Lytechinus pictus: one gene and its partners. The protein of the gene in region 1 purifies or fractionates together with the protein of each later gene. This does not show direct contact. Links are inferred from orthologs where the notes say so. Each region holds a gene or a part of one and is shown on either strand. Other genes may lie near its edges.

Region 1 (7,653 bases):
TATAAATCATTCAGGGAACTTCATCATGTTAAAGCAGCGCAATAAGACCACTGACGAAGTCACGATGACATGAAAAAGACGTAGTGAATCGATGAATAAATAAATGAATTATGAAATAAACCGATTATGGGGGAAAGCAAAATGCAATGAGAATATTAGCCCATACAAAAATGTAAAATATGACATAGCAACTATATGCTGCATTTAAACAATTTCATTAAACAAAACGGGTTTTTAACGGTCGATTAAAGTTTATCCAACATGATTGTGTAGTCTTCCAATATGATGTAAACGGCGTTGAACGTGTGGGGGAATTTGTATCGAATGAAATAATTGTTACTCTGTAAGCAGGTACGGGAAGATCGTATATGGTTAAGAATAAGTGTAAGTTTCTTATTAAAAAAATAAATGAATTTGATGTACATGTGATTTTATTGTTTTCTTTGTGTGTGTGAGTGTGTATATTTTTTAAATATTGGTTTCTTCATTTTGTTTCTGCAGTGGCCGCGAATGTGAGCCAAAACAGACTTGATGGGGGCATAATGTGGAAAAAAATAGCCTCTTTAAAATGAACATCCAATTTGTGATAGAGTGTGACATATTGAACAATTAATATCACATTTCACCCCTTTCCTGTACCGTTTTTGTTGTTGTTGTTGTTGTTCTCCAGGGGGGGGGGGGTGGATCAGGATGGGATCAAAGTGATGGGTTGCCGGGATGGCCGGGTTCGGAGATGTGAGAGAAGGGAAAATAGAGAGAAGGAAAGAGAGCTGAGAGACATGTGAGAGGGAGAGAGAGAGAGAGAGAAAGAAAGAAAGAAATTCCGACAGGGGAGAGGGTGAGAAGGAGAGGGCGGATTGGCGGATTTTATATGACGGCCATCAGAACACGGAAAGTTAATTGATACAAAACAACTTTCACCGTGAAGAAAATTATAGTGCTAAAATGTGCCTAGACCAAAGAGATATTGACAATGAAAAAGAAATCTTTGGCTTTTGAATGAGGGCAATAAATAAGGATCAATCCGGAAAGAATGACCCTTAATCATCAAAAATAACTTTTAGAATTCTTTGTTTTGCTGCATGAGTTGGCCTATATGGACATGCAGTGCGCTGCGTGTACTGTAGTAATTTACATGAAAAAGTAAACTGCGAGTTTTCTTTGTGTAGGATAACAAGAGATGGCGCTGTTCACAATCGATAGCGGTTTTTACATTCGATTGCGATTTTCGATACTTTGACCATGGGTCGTAATAGGTCCATGCTTTGACCAAGGACCTACTAGTATTTGGTTCTGAACAATATAGGCACCTAAGACCGCCACTTTCGGTAGTCGCATTTTTATAAGGGCAAAATTTTTGTTTTTAAATGAAAAGTTGAAGGCTTTGGAAAAAAAAAAAGCTAGACTGCAGTCAGGCACAGATCAAGAGGAGGGTAAACGATGTCGTACCAGGCTTTGGTGAGCCAAAATAAGGATTCTTTTTGACGGATTCCGGAAATAAGCAAGGGAAGTATTATTCTCGTTGCTAATGTTATTTTAGGGGGTAAGAATAAAGGGTAATTTTCAGTATTTTTTTCTTTTGGTGACTGTGGTCAAAGTGTTATCTTTTCGGAATGAGATCCCTTTTCTCAGTCTTAACTGTGACAATTTTCTTTAGTGTCATTAAAAAAAACCAGATTTTTTTGTACATGCATCGGCCAATGCATGGGCATGCCGTCAAAGCTGAGTTGCCGCTCACTGATTGAATGAAAGGTGAGAATTCTTCATTGGTGATTGGTGGCGATGCTGATTTCTAGGTGACCTCCGATGACCTCCTAATTTGGAGGGATATGGGAAGAAATAGGCCTATACCGTCATTGCAAAGTTGAGTGAAGATGAATTTGCATATAAAAAAAATTGCATGTAACTAATTGCAAACCCACCACAGAGAAGTTTACCCTGATGACAACCAGTTTACATTGGGTTTGATGTAAAAGCAGACAAAAATATTGCAGAAAAATATCGGCACTCCTATAAAAAAAAATTTTATGATGATCCTTCAAGGAATAAAAAGAGCTATGAATTTCTTGTGAAAGAAGGCAAAATCCAGACTGGTATGTGGTATCAGAGTTTATTCCAAGAAAACCAACAGCCTCGCTGTGGAACACAAGTGATAAAAATACATTTGTAAATACATATTGATAAAAAAATGACTTAAGTACTGCATTAATTCCAATTTCCATGTCATCAGTTGTTTCTATAAACAGGTTATACAATATGGTTATAAGTCACAAAATGCCATATATTATTCCTACATGCACACATGAGGGTTGAGCAAAATATATATATATATCTAAAATATAACCCCATCACATTGCAGTATGAATATATCAATTTAAAATAGTTCCTGGAGACATTGCATAATAACATGACATCTTTTATTGCAATAAAATAATTCCGATAAAAAATAAACTCACCGCCCACACTTACCCATTCCTCTAGCTGTCCTTTATAGGCATATACATACAAGCATTTATATCATTTATTGAAAACCATGCATGTGTTGAGCTAAATAGGAAAAAAATGAACATCATGGACCAGGGGAGTGTTTCATGAAAGGACATGTCTGACGTTTTATCCAAGTCCCATTTTATCCGACAGTTACCATAGGTGCAGTGCTTGTCAGCCAATCAGAATAAAGGAAAGATGTCAGATCTGACAACTTGTCAGACAAAAATATTGATGAAACGCTCCCCTGATCTGACGGTATTATCGAAAATAATTATGTTAAACAAAACAATTATTCAAAAAAAAATTACATCAACATAAACCAGTAAAAACTTAACTTGTCACGTTCATGTTATGCTAACCAATCAGATAATGCACTGTGAAATTATAACAATTGCAAAGTCGGAACTTCAGAGGCATTATAGAATTATTGACTATAATGATCCCATGGCCATGGGCATCATTATTGAGCAATAGTAGAACACATAATCAATAATTATTAGTCCATGTCAAGCATAGAGGGATGCTTGAATGCATCCATGGAAGGAATTTTGAAGAAAAAAAAACTATTCATTTTTTTTTAACTAAGCCAGTTCTGTAAGACCAATAACCGTATAGCCAATTTCACATTTCAACATTTAGATATTTGTGACGTCAATATGAGAGTATAGCTCCCCCGAAAATGTCATTATAAATTTTCAGAGCATGCATGTTGTTGTTGTTGTCAGGTTGTTTATTTGGGTTTTAATGCGAAAACATTCAGGTGTGAATATTGATGCTTATTTAATTGATAATTCTTATTTTGTGGTTATCTTGGTGTGATAGATTTGTCAGCGCTGCTTTAAATGGAATTCATAGGAGATGACTGCTTATCACAATTGAACAGCAGATATTATACTCGGCATACGGGAATGTGCCGCTCTAAAATCATTCAATGAACAACCCCCCTTCCTTCGATCTTGAGTAATTTCTCTTTTTCTCGATTGGGAGAAAATTCTTAATATTGGGTACACTTTTTTGCCAAAATTACCCTTAAATCACCCTCCAAACCAAATCTTAGTAGACATGTACAACGCCCCCCCCCCCCCGTATAGTTCCGAAGCCCGTTCTGAGGACCCTCCTATTTACAATTAGCACGCTCCAAGGCCCCCGTTTTTTGTCTCGCCCGCGGCACACCCCTACCACTTTTTAGTCGAGTGCCCCCCCCCCCCACAAAAATCCCCTGAAAAGTGAAAAGGGTGCAAATTAACACAACAACATTTAATTACTCTGCCAATTTGTTATGTTGTGAGAATTTTCATACAACACTGAAGACATGCCGAGCAATAAAAAAATCCTTTGGATGACTTTGTAAATATTATTTTTCTCCTGCAACCCTATCTCTCTCTCCCACTGACATTCTGACTGATCGCGATACTTACCAAACGATACTTTTGTTTATCGTTGAATTGCGCGCGCTCATTTGCAGGTCATCTGGTGGTTTCCCTTTGCAATTTGCACGCGAGTACCCTTAATTTCGTGCAAAAATGGCTGATTTAGAGGAGAGAGAAGACACCCCTTCACCCCTTGGGAACCCGGTAAGTAATTGTTAACCATGATGATGCTATTATTGTTTAATTTTGTCGGTTTAAGTTTGTTTTATTTGGTCTTGAACTTAGCGGCGTTTTATTACCCGTCGTCATTTTCATTCATTTGTCTTGGTCGGTCCCATGTATTGGTTTGGGTGTAATGTATGTTTTGACATGATAAACACTGAACAAAAGAATTGTGATGACTGAATCTGATAACAAGATGTTGTTGACATTGATGAAATTGAGAGTTTGATGTTGCCGTTGTTGGAGAGTACTGTAGCTGTTACAGCTAAGCGAACAATGTCATCTCAAGTCATGATGATAGTACTGATAGGAGACGTCAATTTTTTTCTGATTCTTAGATAGGTACGCTACTCTAGCGCGAGAGGGCGCGATTTTCGCGTCATCATTTTCGCGTACGAAAATGGCGACAAGCTGCTTCGGGAGCCGGTGCGAGCAATAACGGCAAGCCCTACTTGAGTCTCCTGTCTAGGATGGTAAACGTATATCAATGGGAATGAAAACGATGACATCATCTTCCCAATGCATTCAGCTATACTGCACGGTAAGCTCTTGCGACGGAGGGTCGAGATCGGAACAAAAATTGCACTAAAACAGTCTGTAAGTACAGTTTATGCATCAAATCATCATTATATGTTATTTTCATGGAATTATCAGACATATTACGCTAAAAATACATATGCTACTCGAAAATTGAAGTCGTAAGCTTTCATTTCTTACCTCATTCATGGCAGCATTTCTTGCCACCATTTGCCACGGACGAATGTTAAACGCCCTTGCTATTTGTTTCGTGGGATTTTCGTGGGAAGTTTGGCGACGCGTTTCGCGGGCTAATTTATGGCGGCTGCTAGGGTTTTTGGTTGCCCGCGGTGTGTAGTCCTGCGCATTGGAATTTGTGTAGCAGACCGTCTACCGTGATATGTCTGGTATTTCTTTGATTTAAAAAAACTTTTTCTTTTTTATAAATTAGGAATTGAAAACCAGACACAAATGTAGAAATCAGAAATACATCCCACACTGACACATTCATTTTGATTGAATAAAATATTGAAAAAAAATGGCAAATGACGCAACAACTTTCTGAATCTTCTCGAACCTAATTTTAGCCTTTACTTTAGTCTTGATTTATTATTTGATGATTATATTCTGTTGAAAATTCATGTAACATGATTTCTTTTGGCCTAATAAAACTTAAATTTTTTATTATTTTAAAAATGAATGGCCTAGATCTAATTTAATTCATTATCATTTTAATTTTCTTTTGTTTTCATTTTTTTATTTTCATTCAGATTAATTTCTTACCTCCATTTGAGCATGGCAATACTTACTGATCTGAAGTCGAGGGGCCCAACAATGAACAGACTTGGGCTGCATGAGCCGTCGAATATCTGTGGTTCCAAGAAAGCGTGATGGAAATGCCGCCTTAAAAAAACCAACCCCACCTCTGCCTCTGGGCTTTGTTCTTGGCGATCCTGCATTCCATTCAGACTGCAACTTTAAGCAGGAATTGTTCTACCAACTACTTAATTATTCACAAATATGAATTGCAGCTTTTAAATTGACAAGAAAGAAACAATTGATTTATCTCACCCCCCCCCCAACTGTCTTCTAACATTTTCTATCGCCCCAAACTAACACTTTTTTTCTTGTATGTCTGTTTAAATATTTTTATTTAGACTTTATGTAATTTTTTCATGATTTATTTAAGAAGTATGAGCAAAAAAACAAACAATTTGGCACATGCAGTAGAGAAGAGAAGGAACATAGTGTTGAAAAAGGATACACATACAGATCTGAATATTAAAATAAATTTTAAAAAGAAATGACAAATCCACACTGACACATGAAAGTATTCATTTTATTTTTTTTCCTTGTTGGCATTGGTTACATTAATTAACTCCACATAAAAATATAAATTGGATATTTTAACAGTATTAATGAAGTTGCTCAATAAAATTTAAAATTAGGTATTCTCATTGGAGGTAATGGTTGATACAGGTGGGTGGGTGGACCTGCAGCCACTAGCGTACCTATGGGGGGGGGGGGCAGACTGCCCCCCCGACGAGTCACAACCCATGCAAGGGACGTATCCCTGCCCTCCCCCCCTGATGAGCCACCGGTGGCCCCCTCCTTTGAAGTTTAAGACCGAAAGTACGAAATCCTTTATTTGTGGTTGAAGACTTTTTTGCTTGTCAAATTTTTGGGCGGACGATTTTGCCCCCCCCCCCCCCCTGTGGAAAATCCTAGGTACGCTACTGCCTGCAGCTCTATTGTTTTATTAGATTTTCATTTTTTATTGCTGGGGGGGGGGGGGTATTATGTAGAGCTGAAGCCAAATGATCTTATGAGGCAAGATTCAGTGTACAGCTCAATATGGTGCATGTAAAGTGATTTATTAAACTTTTGAAATATCAATTAAGAACTGGAATGATGAATGATATGAATATAAGAAATATATTAAATGCATGTAAAGTGATTTATTAAACTTTTGAAATATCAATTAAGAACTGGAATGATGAATGTTATGAATATAAGAAATCTATTATATGCTAGTTCATCACAACTTTAGCTGGATCTTGCTGCAGAAAGTGCATCGTGTAGTTCTACAAATATCTCTGGTGAGAGGCAGTTTGGCAGAGCGGATGCAATGCTTCATAGGGCCCCTAACATTTCTGTGGTAAGGTCGAATCCAAACTGATGTTTTCATCAAATGATACAGCCTCCTGGCTACAAAAATTTCCTGTAGATGAAAGAGAAAACAAAATAATGAATGCAATGAAATTGGGAAAAAAGTGAGGCTAGAGGAGCAAAAACAAAAGCAAATGGTTGTAAAGTTAGTACAGGAGAGGAACAAAATGAGAAGAAAGGAACTCACAGAAAAGGAAACAAAACAGAGAGACAAACTTGAGACTAGCTCCTTTAAAAAAAGTTCTGTATGGTGTACTATGGATCTGTAAAAATATTTTAAAATTATGTAAAGTTTCAAGGATTGAGCATGCATAGGAAATCACGTAAAGGCAAGGATATCAAGTCACGAATAAAAACAAAAAATGAGGGGGGGGGGAATGGGAATTACATCACCCCCCCCCCACCCCGCCTCTCCAAAAAAAAAAAAAAAACGACTTTAATAACTTGTCAAAACTCTATCTAGTATCAGCTTATGTTATTATCCTTTTTAATGTTATTGTTAGGGATCGAGAGAAAGGATGAACGCGGGGGGGGGGGTGCATTTTTCGGATTCATACTTTCAGGCATCAGTGTACTGAAGGGGAACATTTAACATAGGACTACAAAAAATTGCGGTGGACAGACAAGAAACAAGAAATGATGATTAAAATGAAAGAAAAAATTCTCGATCTCAAAACAACTTGAAAAAAGAAAGATGCAAAACCAAATGTTATCAACTCACTTACATATTATATTTGAAATCCATCCCAATGGTCTTCCATGTCGTAATTGTGCACTGTAATTCAGATAATCTAGTTAAAACATGTGAAATTAACTTCAAGTCTCAAATCAATCGTCTTGCACACTGTGCCTTGCATGCAAAACAACAAAATACTCCGATATATGC
Region 2 (6,977 bases), on another chromosome or scaffold:
ATAAAAGAGAAATTTCCGCGATAAAAGTCAAATTACAACCGTTTGCAAAAACTTATATAGGCCTACGACTATATTTGCAAATAGGGCAGCAACTGCTCGCGGAAAAAGGATTTCCAAAGAAATTTTGCAACAATGAAAACTGTTTATGATTTTTTTTTCTTTCTCAAGCTTTTACGAATCCTTTGCAACTCTAACGTTTGCGTCCTAGCTGGCAATACCTTCTCAAAACCTGCATCGGGGTGGGGGGGGGGGGGTACTCGCGTGTATATCGCATAAGGGGATTTGCCGCAGCTCTATAGTTGGTCGTTTTTTGCAACAACAAGAAAAAATCCTTAGACATGGGTCTTGCTATATTGCAAGAAAGCCATTGGTCCTATTTTGCAGTTGAATAATCCTTAGACATGGGTCCGTTTCTGAAAAAAAAACCAAATATGCCTATACTTATACGAATCCCCGGGAAAAGCCCCCGGAAATGTCTATGTTAGTCCCGGTCCAGAGTACGAGTAGCCGGTACCCATGGACGAGTAGATTCTACCTGTATAGTATTTCCACATCTTATTACGATAGCAATGGGCACCGGGGTACGTCACTCTAGGCACACTCGGCCGACCATATACAGTAGGCCTACCCTATATAGTGCATGCGTGCAGCGCATGCATAATTAATTATTGTTGTATTGTATTTATTCTACATTCATAAAAACATGCAAAGTACGAACAAAATACATCAGATATAATTACAAAATAAAATGAATACATATGAATGGCTAGATTGCCCACTCACATTGGTAATTATTACCACTCTGTTCTGCCTAGGGGTCCAGAACGTAATAAAATAGATCAAATTGTATGATTGCAACAACAAGTGTTTGTAATGGCAAATTTTCAGGTTGGAAAATCCAAAATGTTCAGCTTTTCTGAGCACTTCTTTAGAATCAATTTGTAATAATGAAAACTTGATATGCGGCCTAACTTATGTTTGTATAATTTTTCGAAACCGGATATTCTAAGCTTCTATCTATTTAATTTAACACTCAATGCGTACGTGGAATTGTTTTTTTCCCCCAAGTCTTCCCCTCCACTTATTTCATCTACTTGTCTTCCTCTCCTTTCCATTTTCCTTTCCTTTTTTCTTGTTTTTCCCTCTCCTCTCCTTTCCAGTGGCGTAGCTACGGGGGGCCCGTGGGGCACGTGCCCCCTGAGATTTGGTGTGCCCCCCCCCCCAGGTGCCCCCCCCCCCTGAAAAAAAATTGGCAGAGCCAAAAAAAAGAAAAGAAAAAAGGAAAAGAAGAAGAAAGACAAGAAAAAAAAGAAGAGGAAAATAAGAGGAGGAAGACGAGTGAATGAAATAATGTGAAGGGAAGACTTGCAAAAAAAAACAAATCTTTCATGTTACTTTACAAAACTTTTGCTTGCGCTTCGCGCCAGAATTGCCCTTTCGATGAGATTCATATCTTGCTCAATAGGCTGATATGGAGCAATTTTTTAAGTCAATATACGAAATATATTTTAGCTCGTACATCGAGCTTTCATCTTTTTTTTTTCATTAACAAATTCAAGTGCTCTAGCTGTAAAATGTCACTTTTATATAGTCTACATATCAGCATTTTTAAGCTCACGCTGCGTGGTCAAGTTGTTTGATTTGCCAAGTTCCTATTGTCTACGTGTATTCCATAATGTTCCATTAAACTAATGTATTCATACTGCCCAGATTCTAGGTCTTAATCTAAAACATGCGCGATAGCCTGCATGTTGTGTATATTAAATGTACTTAAATTATCCAGTTTCACATCAAAATATCAATAATTGTCTGCTCACTCTTTACGGTCGCATTATTAATGATACCCAATTAACTATATCCTTTTTATGATTTACAAAATATGAATAGAGTGTCCCGCTTTTAGGTCTAAAATTTCAATTTTCTTCCTCTCGCGCTTCGCGCTCGCATCAATTGTTTAGTAACATACCTATCCCATTTATTAATACAAAAAGTGCTTAGAATGACAATTTTTTAGGTCGGAATGTCAAAAAAATTTGCTCGCGCTTCGCGCTCGCATTATTGAAATATATACCGTCTTCGTGGGTAACTGTAAGCAGTCCTTAACAGGTCCCTTTTCGATAATGCTAGAACAGTTAATAAAAATTTCTGCTCGCGCTTGGCGTTCGCAGTAACCATCTAGTTACATACGAATCTTGTTCAGGATCACACATAACATTGCCCAGAATATTAAATTTTCAGGAAAAAATACATGAAAGTAACAAAAAAATCGCTCGCGCTTCGCGCTCGCACTTTTTATAAGGCTTATGAGATTATTTCATGTTTTTGTTGTTTTATAAGAATAAAAATAAGAAGTGACTGATCGGGGGAAAAATAGGTGAAGATAATTTCGGGCCCCGTCCCCTATTGGCGAAAGTCGGATCCGCCCTTGTGACACATACACACACAACGGAAAAAATTGTGCCCCCCTGAAAAAGCAAGGACCCCCCAGTGCCCCCCCCCCCCAGGAAAAAAATCCTAGCTACGCCACTGCTACTTTCCACTTTCCTTTCCTTTTTTCTTGTTGTTCCCTCTCCTCTCCTTTCCATTTTTCTTCTTTCTTTTTTTATACTTTGTCCCCTCTCCCTATTTTCATTGGGCCTTGAATGTGTTTCGCCCGGGGCACGCGCCCCTGCTCCCTTTCAAAAATCCTACGTACGCTACTGTCTTCTACCCCCCCCCCCCTAGAAAAGGCCTACTATAAAAATAAAAATAAATGTCATTAGGACTAAATTGACACAGGCCACAGTAACATTTCACTTTTTGGGGAAGTCTTCTATTTTTTTGTTTGTTTTTCAGTGCTAAATGCTTGCTTGTCGATTTTTTTTTTCTTAAATGGTACGTAGGCCTTCTCCAGGCTGAAAATAATGTGATTTGAACAGACAAATAAAAATCCGACAAACAAAGCACTCGAAATTTTATGAAAAATGGACAAGGAATAAAAAATTTATGACATTTTAGATATTCTGATAATTTCTGTAAAACAATGAATATTATGCATGTCTTCACGAATATTCAATGAGCAATCTGATATTTCCACGTGTTGTTTTGTATTTTATAACATAAGATCTCAATTCATTCGAAGTGTGACCTCGAAGAAAAAAATGGACTGGCAATTGATTTAATGCATTATAGATATTCATCACTGCAACTTATTTTATCATAATTGATAAGGGTGCCATATCATGATAAACACACAGACAGACAGAATAGATAGATAGATAGATAGATAGATAGATAGATAGATAGATAGATAGATAGATAGATAGATAGATAGATAGATAGATAGATAACTGGTTTATTGATTAAACATCATTGAGGCATAGCCGAATTGCGATGAGTTTAAATAGGCATGCATTACATTCATACAAACATAATAATACAAAAGGAAACATAATAATACAAAAGGAAACATAATCACGTATCGTATATTCACAATATCATAAAAAGGAAATGCATTTTAATTGTTATAGATAGGGCCTCATGCAATGGAAAAGTATATACGAACTTTCTACAAATTCAATTTAAGTATTGGACCATATGAAATCACAGAAGGGGAAAAGCACTGCATGTAGAGTGCATAAATCATACATGTATAGTCAATCACAATTTTACATAAAAAAGAACTTTACTATAGGGTTCATTTTGAAAGTCCATTTACTAAGGCGCATGGGTAACTCTGCGCTCGATCGATCGGATGCCCCTGCTCAAAACTTGCATCGGCTCCTAGCAAAAATGAAATCCTGATTTGAAGGGAAAATATTTTATTTCTCTTTGTATTTTTTGCGGGAATTATGATATCGGTCATTTGGTGGCATGATACCACGTGCATCAATATCACTGAAAAATACCATGCACATGCATAATCGCAATAGGGGGGCGTGTCCCCTTTTTTGTTATGAGCGAGCGGCATGCAGATATATCGATTGAAGGAAAAAAAACACCGGTAGCAGTTCTTATGAACTTTAGACTTTGGACTTTGAACTTGGATTGCAAATCTGTACATGCAGCCAACGGATACATGTGGAAGAACTGCACAGTTGTACTTTGGACAGAATAATATCACAATCAAGATTGTCAATCATCGTTTTTATCTGCAAAGATACCATTAATTAATATCGGCGCATGCGTGTAAATCTGTCCACATGTTGACTCCGATCCTCCGTCGTGTCCTCTCGGCTGCTTTTTCCCAGAGAACTTATTCCAAGATCTCTTTTACTCGCCATTCTCGACCTCGAATAGATTTGTCAAAACTTCAGTTCAGTGACTGTCGAATTTTAGCGATGGCTTATTCAGTTGAACCCAGAGGTGCACCCAATTCGCTCGACTACCGTCTGTTCTTCAGTAAGTACCTCCTACGGCTACGGCTCTTCTCTGCAGCAGTGAGCAGGTCGTCGGAATCGCGGCCAGGCGTTGCCCATCCGGGCGGCGTCAGTATCTTGAGTTGACCGCCCACTCGCTCAGCTCAGGAGGCCGGAGGCGATTTGTCATTGACATGTCGGAGCTGGAGTCTGAAACACAACTCACCTGTGGCAGTGCAGAGTCCCACTTAGCCAGGACTGAGGCTCCTAGACTAGAGAGTGAAAATCATTCACTAACGACTTAACGTGTGCTTACTCTCCATGGATGGAGCTTGGGAGTGGGATTGCGTCCCATTCATGTGCGTGTACCGCGAAAAAAACTGAAATTTTTGCCCCCAAGGCCAAGTCCAAGATTTATATTTTCGTTCTAAAAGATCTAACGTTAGCCCTAAATCATGTAAATGGGATACAACTTCATTTCCGACATTTATATGACATTGATTTCATTTTCAAACAAGAATTCATTAAAAAAATGAGAAAAATATTATGAAAAGACGGAAAAAACCTGCCGCGATCGCGATGTTTACATGTACGTCGCCATCTTGTTTCTTTTTGTTCTTTGTCAAGATACATGACGCATATCGGATATGCGTCTTGTATCTTGGCAAAGAACAAAAAGAAATAAGATGGCGACGTAAACATCACGGCAGGTTTTCTCCGTCTTTTCATAATATTTTTCTTGTTTTTTTTAATGAATTCTTGTTTAAAAATGAAATCAATGTCATATAAATGTCGGAAATGAAGTTGTATCCCATTTACATGATTTAGGGCTAGATCTTTTTTTGTTTTAGAATTAGAAGGAAAGGAGAAATCTCAGGGCGAAATTTTCAAATTTCAATTTTTTTCGCGGTACATGCACATGAATGAATGGGAGGCAATCCCTGGCTCCGTGGTGAGTAAGCACACGTTAGTGACTGACTTTAGAGAGTAAAAATTTTCTACTCTCTAGGAGCCTTCTGGCTAGTCCCACCGAACTTATCGTGCATGCTGTATGTAGTGTTCGTGAATTTTGCAAAAAATTTAGTAAAAAATCAAAAATGTAAAGTTTCAAAATTTCTGGGGAGGGGGAACTGCCCCCCCCCCCCCCCAGTGTGTATGATGTGGTTCCAAACTTCTCAGACTTTTCAAAAGTATTCATTAGGCTTAAATTTGTCCACAAAATATTCACAATTTATAAAAAAACCAAAGAAATTGTTAGGGCCTATCACGGCAAGATCGTAAACGTTTGCCAGTATTGCGATCTCAAAATTCTATTCCGATCGAGGAATGCGCGCTTTGGTGGAAAACCGTTCTGAAAAAGTGTGACCTAACTTCGTGGACCAAAGTTTTTGTGGAGATTTAAATAAAAACTCAAGCTCAAAAGGTGAGATATTTATATCAGATTGATGACAAAATGCTATAGAATTAGTACCATATTGAACTCACATTTTTTTATGATATCTGCTTGCAAACAAAATGATGATATCGTGATGCTTGTTGAGAATATCAAATTTCTTCGGAACGGGCACTAAAGGTGACAAATTTGCTGATCTTTTGTCAATATTTTCGTGAATACTGAACTCATCGTAAAAAAAAACTTATGCCAAAGGGTAATTTCAGGTCGCTTTTCACGTTGATGTCAGATTTTAAGGATATTGGCTAGTTTTTTAGATAGTGACCGTTTGCGAAGTATGGACACACAAAGTTTGGAATCACTGCCATACTGTGTATGGCCATGCACCGCAGTGTCCCGGAGATCAAGAAAAGGGGGGGGGGGGGGTAGTATCATAGCCATAGGAATAAAGGCTGGTGTAAAAATAAAACTGTAGACTGACTGTACTGTAGGAAGGCGACAAGTTGTAGAAAATAGTTGGTGAACTGGGCCCGATTGGAGGCCACATGCTTGCTGTTTATGTTACGTTAGGGAGAAATGAAAAAAAAAATGTCCTAAACATGATATTCCCCGCCAAGTGTGATATAAATTCCATGAATTTCCTTTTTTTATGGAATATGATAAACAAATTTATTTATCTTGTCAAAGGAGTTGAAAGGATCGCACAAATGAAATCAATTTCAGAATTTTGAGAAAATTGCATTTTATATGACACAAGATATGGAAGAGCTGATTGTCTTTCTGTGGCATCATAAGATCAAAACTTTGTAATATAATATTAGATTGATTTTCATAAAACTTTCGCCAATTGAAATTTTTCTCAAATTTTTCTGTTTTTATTAAAATCAACTTATCAAGGCAGACTTCTTACAAGTATCAATCATAAATGTGGACTCTTATTTCTATCCTCTACACTTCAGCTTAGATACCTATTTAGATTTTTGGTTTTCCTTCTTTTTTTTCTGTATTTCTAGGGAACAGCGATGGTCAAGTGATTTCACCATTTCATGACATTCCACTATATGCTGATAAAGATGTAAGATAATTATTAATTCATTTTTTCTCTCATTTTTAAAAATTTGTATGATGACCTTTTTTTTTGCTCTGTGTTTACATCATCATAAATTTACATATCTTTTATGGTTCTCTTTCTTACATCATGCCATAGCCCATCTATTTTCCCACATTTTCTTGTAAAAAATATTGAT
Region 3 (7,817 bases), on another chromosome or scaffold:
GCCTTGGGGGACTCCACATGAGATAGATTTGGGAGGGGAATCTACATTTGCTATGGAAACATATTGCTGCCTACTGCTGAGGTAGTTCCTGAACCACTCCAAGGCTATCCCTCTGATTCCATAATAATTAAGCTTGTATAAAAGGATATCATGGTTGATTGTGTCGAAAGCCTTGGAGAAGTCCAGGAACACCCCAACAGTATGCTCATACTTGTCAATTCCATTGGCAATCTTATTAATCGTTGACAACAGGGCATGAGTAGTACTATGTTTTTCGCGAAAACCAAACTGCAGGGGATAAAACAATTTATGTATATTAAGAAACTTTGTCGTGCGTACAAAAATTACTTTTTCCAAAACCTTCGAAAGGCATGTCAATAATGATATGGGGCGATAATTTCCCAACACGGTGTTGTCGCCTTTTTTAAAAATGGGGATTACTCGGGCTTGCTTTAATGAAGAAGGTACAACTCCTGTAGAAAGAGACAAATTAAAGATATAAGTCAAAGGTTTAATAATGTGTATCAGGTTTCTTTTCAGGAGAATGTTACTTATATCGTCACATCCTGAACTCATTTTATTCTTTAGTCCAGAAATTATATCAGCTAGTTCTTTTACGTCTGTTGGTGTGAAATATATCGAATTTGGATTAGGGACATTAAGAAAAGATGTGAAGTGTTTAGAAGAGGCAGGGATTGTGCTGGCAAGATTTTGGCCTACGGATGCAAAATAGTCATTAAAAACATTTGCCAAGGCAAAGGGATCCTCTACCAATTCACCATCAACATTTATTTTCGTGGGCGTAGACATTCTGAAGTTACCTTGTATAACGTTTTTTATAACTTTCCATGTATTTTTAACGTCGTTTCTATAGAGGTCAAATTGATTATGAAAATAATTCTTTTTACATTTTCTCAGTATACCTGTCAGAATATTTTTGTAGTCAGTGTACTTTTTTCTATTACTGTCGCAAGGCTTTGAAATAGTTTTTAAGTAAAGGTTATTCTTTCTGTTTATTGAGCGCAAAATGCTAGGTGTAATCCATGGGGACCTTGGAACCTTTTTGTAATTAGAGCGTTTGAATCGCACTACGGGAAAAGAGCTATTCATTAATGGATTCAATTTATTCATAAAAGCGTCAAATGCATCCTCGGCATTTTGAATACTGTAAATTCCTGACCAGTCAACATTTCCTAACTCTTCATTGAACAGATTCATATTATTTTCAGAAAAATCACGTCGAGTATTATGATCAACTTTGTGTTCAGTGGCGTTGGTATCTAGTTTAAAATGCGAAAATATGGGAAAATGGTCCGTCAAATCAGAAAGAATTATTCCCGTAGAGAGAGTACTTCTGGTATTTGTAAATATATTGTCGATGAGAGTAGCCGATGTACCTGTGATTCGAGTTGGCTTGGTTATCAAAGGAAGGAAACCTGCTGTCATTATTACATCCGAAAAAGTTTGAACAAAAGTATCAGTATCGTATTTTAGTAAGTCAATATTGAAATCGCCGAGTAAAAAACACGTTTCATTGACCATCTCATGGAGTGCCAATAACCCATGGAATGTATTTAAAAAGTCATCGTGGGAGGAGTTAGGCGGCCTGTAAATCGTTCCAACCAGAATATTTTTGTCGTTGGGCATAAGAATTTCAACAAAAAGTGTTTCAATAGCATCATTCATTAGAGTAAGATCAGGCCTTAACCTGTAATCGAATTGTTGGGATACAAAAAGAGCAACGCCTCCACCTGATTTCCCTATTCTATTATTTGTGACCAAATTATAACCTGGCAGCGTATAAAAGGATAGTTGAGTAGAGTGGGAAAACCACGTTTCTGACAAACCTATCACAGAACAAAAGAGCTTAGAATTCAATAAAAGGGAACGAAGTGATTCAAAATTTTTGTTGGCACTGCGAATGTTGCAATGTAGCATTAGAAAGTTACTGTTGTCAAGTTGTTTCGACGCTATCTGTTTATCAGTAAAATAGAGCGAGGGGGTATGTTGATACGTATTATCATTAGGATCAGAAAGAGAATCAAGATTAGCTTGTGCATTGAGAGTTTGAGCTACGGAGTCATGAAAAACAGAATTTTTACATTCATCATGTTCATCAAACTTCGAATTAAAGGCAGCCTGGAAAGTATCGTGTAATTCATCATTATCTATATCAGAAAATGGGAAATTTGTGTTTACAGCCATCACAAAGGATGTCTAGGGGATCTCCAGAGATAGGGAGGAGTATGCAGATCAGCTAAACGAAATAACACAAGACATGATATTACGAGAATGACAGATACGAATACAGACAAATAACGACAAACACAAAAACAAAAACAAAACAAATATACAGTAGCACTTAAATCCTAGGAACCTTCAAATTATAAAAAGAGGGAGAATATTCAGAGCTGACTATATAACAGGAACAAAATAAGCAAAGTATTTTAGGCAATATTACAGACATTAACCCTTCGAGGGAAGACGTAAAATGCGTCTATATTTTCCATGTATATACATTTCCATGAGGTGGAAGAAGAACCAACAAGCACCAGCAATAATGAGACAATTGAAAGGTTATTGGAGGAACATGCAAGCCCTTTAAATCGCAAAGCATAGCAAATGAACTAATAATAGACATTACGATAAGATACTTCGATATAAAAAGATTGGGACAGCAATCAAAATAAATAAAACGAAAGAATGATAAACATCTGATACTGTATTGTGTTGGATATGTATCAATAAGTCCAATATGTAAATAATGTTCATATATACCATTTGTGTAAGAATCTCCCAAAAGTAAGACAATAGGAGGAATTAATTTGATACATTAGCATGAAAAAAGAAAATTCTGCATAAGAAGTTCTTTGCAGTAAATCGCTTTGTGTACAATTCAAAACCTAACAAGGGTGGTGCATGCTCCCCCACAAACCCCCAAGATCACACACAGATTAAAACGGCAGATATAATTTGAAGGAATATTGTAGAAACAACAGCAAGGAGGAGAAAGAATGACCAAATGTCGTGTATTAAAGAAAAAGCATACATTCTTAGACAAATACCCATAATGATAAAGAAACATGTAACGATTGTATAAACTGCGAAAAGGATAACAATCATGTATTGTGCGACCACACTTCAAAAAATGAACCAGTCCTTCTAACAGTCTAACGACTGGATGGAGGGGCTTCTGTTGCATACTGGCATTTCAAGACCCTAGAGTGAAAGGAATAATTCAATAGTGTTCCAACATGTCAAACGTTGGTTTAATCTGTACTTTATGTAACTTGTTAGGAGTATGATTTTCAACGTTGTACCTGAGTAAACAATGGAGCGGATTTTGCGTGATATGTCAAAAAGAAACACGTACAGCATACAATAACAACGATCTAGAAGGTTCATCACAAAAGGGTCACCAAACACCAGTCTTCAACGGAATATAGATCATCTTATTTGATGGAGGATATGAAGTAATTACACTTGTTGTACATGACACTTATTAATATTATAAAACCTAAGAATACCAACATGTAGCGGTGTAATTAAAAGCCAGATTACGTGAAGTGAAATCGATGATAGTATTAATTCACAAACTCTTCACATCAATTTTAGATAAAATTTTTATCGAAACCATTCCACGGTCCGTCTCGTCCGCGTTGTTTTAGTTTTGTAACTAAATGCAATACAAACATATCCACCTCTATGCATGGGGCCTATTTATTTATTCATTTATTTATTTATTTATTGATATATTCATATTCCACGAATTCTCAAAGTACATATTCATTTACAGTAGAAATATAAATCATCTGCATGTGCAGTTTTGAAACGTACTGAAAAAAATTTAAAAAGTGGAGGGGCCTACTTTAAGCAAAGCTTTAGATGCAGACCTCCTATCAAAATTATATACAATGAGGGTAATGTATGATATGAATAAAGTGAAATAATCAGCAAAATTCTGTAAATTGATATAGATTTAGACACTGTAACACGAATGTATATTCACTATATACAAAATTATAGTAACTTTAAAATAATCAACACTTCCGTGGATATTTGATTAAATCAGTATGAATTCAGAAAAATAAATTGATGAGTAATTTAAATCGGTTCAGAGAAGATGCCTCTTTTATAAATGCTCTGTCCAAAGAATTCCTGATTTTTGGTCCTGTGAAAAATATACTCTTGCTCAAAAATACTGTTGTTTTAGGTAAGTGATAGTCATTTGACTGTCTGGTATTATATATGAATGCAAAGTATTATTTCTCAGTACTCCTTTTTTCTGAAGTAGAAATACTTTGTCGAGTCTCGTTTGAGAGGCATTTCCCCATGCTAGAATCCCATAATTAAGATCAATGCAAAATACTGGAAAATACAAAAACAACAACGCGCTGAAGTTCGATCTGTGAACAAGTCACTGCTCTGGATGCAGATCACACCGTCACTTTCCTCGAGTGAATTTTTGCAAACCAATCTAAATTCTAACCACTTCTTAAATTGCTGATGCTGTCTTGAACTCGCATTATTAGATCACTGATCTGTATGTACGTAATCACGTTGACTCCATAGAGATGTTATTAGTATATCTCTATGGTTGACTCACACTCATCAAATTGGTAGTCCTTTCACCGATTTACCAATATCATTGCTAACTTCATCCGCCTAACGCGGTAAAAAATAGTTCACTGAATTTCTCCCGCAAGCAAAGTTATGTGGCCGAGTTCATGAAACAAAACCGCTGATTGGTTTATAGCAATCAGTTGTGAAAGGTGTTTCCCCGCAAGGTCTCATAAATATAAATGGTAGCAAATAGGTTATTTGTAGTCACCGTCAATTTATATCTTAAGTTTTGCCACATCTTGTTCAAATTAGATAATTGTGACCCGGGGTTCATAGTTAAGAGGATAACGCATCAGATTTGCTTGGAAAATGCAATTGGGAAATTGGCACATATGCAGACTAAACGCGCACCAATAGGAAAGCATAATCGGAAAGGAATAACGTTGGAATGAAAAATTCATTATTTGTTATAATTTCAGACGTTTGTCACTAGATCATGTAGATCAGATGCAGTCAATCATTTATGAATTTAGAGGTATTATTTGTCATGATGTTTGGGTATTTGTAAACATGTACTTGGGCATGAAGGGGGCTCGCCGAGCGATCGATCGCGATAGCGGTAATTGAATGCATAATTGGTCACGTGGTCATCTACATCAGAAAATGGCGGACAGTGCAGAACTTGCGTGCGATTCGTAAATATAATGCCGAAATCGTGTTTCACCGCGAAGCTTGTGGATCTCAAACCTAAGTTAGGTGTGCGTTAGGTTACCAGGCACCCGCTAGCAGCCGATAATTTGTATTTCAAGATGCCGAGGGGACGTGGACGTCCGCCTAAGTCACTTGTTGATTCATTGGACGAGACGCCGGGAAATGCAAAGAAATCTGGTGGAGGAGCCGGAGTTGGACGGGGCAATGATGGCCAGAGCAACGGCTCCAGTCCTGCAAGTTCTCGCTGTAGCACACCGGTAAGTCAAGCCAGCAGTACCGGCGCAGTTGGCCGAGGGAGATCCCCGAGATTACGTGAAGCTGCGAGGCGGAGCAAGCGGCTAATTCAAGAGGTCATAGAGGCTCAAAGAAGTCCCCAGGCTAAGGCAAGTCCATCAAGCAGTAGCACAACAAGTACTGGAAAGGGGCCAGGAAAAGGGAGAGGGAGAGGTAAGACTCCCACAACACAGAGTAAACCGGGTGCAAAATCAAAACCAAAAGGGAAAGGGAAAGGAAAAAAGGCAAGGCCAAAATATGAAAGTTCAGATGAAGAGGGAGTTGATTTCAATGAGGAATTGTTGCAATCTTCGTCAGAAGATGAGATTAGTTCAAATAGTTCGCAGTCTGAATTACCAGATGATGATGAATTAGAAGAACTAGAAGAAGACGACAGTGACGACAGCAGCACGGCTGCCAAGAAGAGGTTATTACTTTCACGGACAAATCGGCCTTTCGCATTGCCATTCCTGGAGGCAGAGCCAGAGGAAATTCCTCCAATTGAACTTCCAAAATCTAGCACAGACCTCCTTATCGACAATGAGGATATGATGAATGCTCTATCTGTGTATGAAGTTCTTAGGCATTTCAGTCAACAGTTAAGACTCTCTCCATTCCGTTTTGAGGATTTTTGTGCAGCTTTGTGTAGTGAAGAGCAATGTTTGCTCCTAGCGGAAACCCACATTGCTCTGTTGTACAATCTTGTGAAGGAAGATGAAAGTAGCAGTACAACGTTTGGTCCTCAAGACCAGCGAGACAGTATCAATGTCCAGTTCTTGTTTCTAGATAATATGACGTGGTCTGAAGTTGCAAGAGCGTATGTTGAAAGTGACAAAGAATTCCGTGGTGCATTAAGTGCTCTAGAAGGAGAAAACTACCCTTTTGCTCCTGTGAGTGACAAATTAACAGTGTTGCATCTCCTTTGCGACCAGTTCCTGGCATCGAACAGAGTGCGTGAAGAGATTCTGAGTGAAGGTGCAATAACCTATGACGACCATTGCAGGTCGTGTCATAAATTGGGAGATTTAATATGTTGCGAGACATGTTCAGCCGTTTATCACTTGGAATGTGTGAATTTGGTGGAAGTACCAGAGGAAGACTGGATGTGCTCGGTGTGCAGGCAGCATCGCGTTCTTGGTGTCTATGACTGTATCTCAGAGGTGGAGAAGAGTGGACTCCTCATTCGACAGGAACCCTTGGGTTATGACAGGCATGGCAGAAAGTACTGGCACTTTGTTAGGAGAATTGTTGTGTGAGTATTTCTTCCTACTATCTGTCTTTCTTCCCATTAACTTTAGACATTGATGGCTATAAAGGGTGTGACCTTTTGAGAATCTGTAAACAATATTTCAGTCTTAAAAACAAGAAGGCACATAACTAAGAGCAAATGCATTTCCTTTTTATACTGATTTAACTTTGAAATAATGAAGAAATAAGAAATAGATTTTGCCTTAAACCTTTGAAGTGTAATATGTGTATTTCAGAAGTAAATTTCCCACCAACCACTTATCATCTCCCCTCCCTGTAAATTTGAGATGGGCTATAAACATAAGGCTTATTGAATTTAATTTGTCAAACATGCATTGGACATGAGATAAACATTATACACTGTACCCTTGCCACTGGAGGTTTATTTCTCTAAAGTTTGCATGCAGTATATCATAATCATTGATACTATTTATCTTTTAAAATATGCAGTGAAGGTGAGAACGAGCTATATTACTACTCCACCAAGCTTCAATTTGAAGAATTGATGCATTCTTTGGATGCAACAAAGTGGGAGGAGGACTTGTGTCTTGCACTGCAGGATTGTATGGCAGAGATCCTTGAACAGATGCAGAGGACAGAGGAGCTGACCAACAGCGCAAGGGGTAACCAGAAGTCAGTGCTTCAGAAGTCAACAGGTTGGTTGGTGCTGTCTTTTGTAAAGCTTGTCAGTTTTATTTCAACTAGTTTCTGTTTAAAATCAAAGTAGGCCTATGTTAACTAAAGAAAGTGAAAAAAAAGGAATTATGAACAAAATTCATAAGTAGCACCAAATTAAAGAGGAGGTTATTGTTTAATCTATTAGACTGTGAAGCTGTTATTTTCTGTGAAGGGTAAAAATCTTGAGAAGCTCAACAAAGCATGGTTGTAGAGAAGTAGGAGCAGCCTACTGCCTTCACAGCCACTCAGAGCTTATTCATTTGTTGTATTTGCTGTTGCTGCTGGCTTACAATATCTGTAGTGATTGGTGGCTGAAATAGCAGATTCCTCATTTAATGCATTAT

What was found.
Region 2: the proteins of SWI/SNF-related matrix-associated actin-dependent regulator of chromatin subfamily A member 5-like (region 1) and inorganic pyrophosphatase-like fractionate together in Drosophila melanogaster (co-fractionation; 4 studies listed by BioGRID, with this or other methods). This does not show direct contact. The link is inferred for Lytechinus pictus from reciprocal best matches to the Drosophila melanogaster genes Iswi and Nurf-38.
Region 3: the proteins of SWI/SNF-related matrix-associated actin-dependent regulator of chromatin subfamily A member 5-like (region 1) and nucleosome-remodeling factor subunit BPTF-like purify together in Drosophila melanogaster (affinity purification with western blotting; 7 studies listed by BioGRID, with this or other methods). This does not show direct contact. The link is inferred for Lytechinus pictus from reciprocal best matches to the Drosophila melanogaster genes Iswi and E(bx).

The regions. Positions count from the first base shown.
Region 1 is NC_087249.1:49,687,632-49,695,284, forward strand, and holds the start of SWI/SNF-related matrix-associated actin-dependent regulator of chromatin subfamily A member 5-like, read left to right. Parts: upstream 1-4,548; 5' UTR 4,549-4,601; coding exon 4,602-4,679; intron 4,680-7,653.
Region 2 is NC_087262.1:17,331,482-17,338,458, forward strand, and holds the start of inorganic pyrophosphatase-like, read left to right. Parts: upstream 1-3,972; 5' UTR 3,973-4,181; coding exon 4,182-4,380; intron 4,381-6,743; coding exon 6,744-6,805; intron 6,806-6,977. UniProt on the Drosophila melanogaster protein: Component of NURF (nucleosome remodeling factor), a complex which catalyzes ATP-dependent nucleosome sliding and facilitates transcription of chromatin.
Region 3 is NC_087254.1:2,980,392-2,988,208, forward strand, and holds the start of nucleosome-remodeling factor subunit BPTF-like, read left to right. Parts: upstream 1-4,761; 5' UTR 4,762-4,787; intron 4,788-5,151; 5' UTR 5,152-5,372; coding exon 5,373-6,799; intron 6,800-7,245; coding exon 7,246-7,451; intron 7,452-7,817. UniProt on the Drosophila melanogaster protein: Histone-binding component of NURF (nucleosome remodeling factor), a complex which catalyzes ATP-dependent nucleosome sliding and facilitates transcription of chromatin.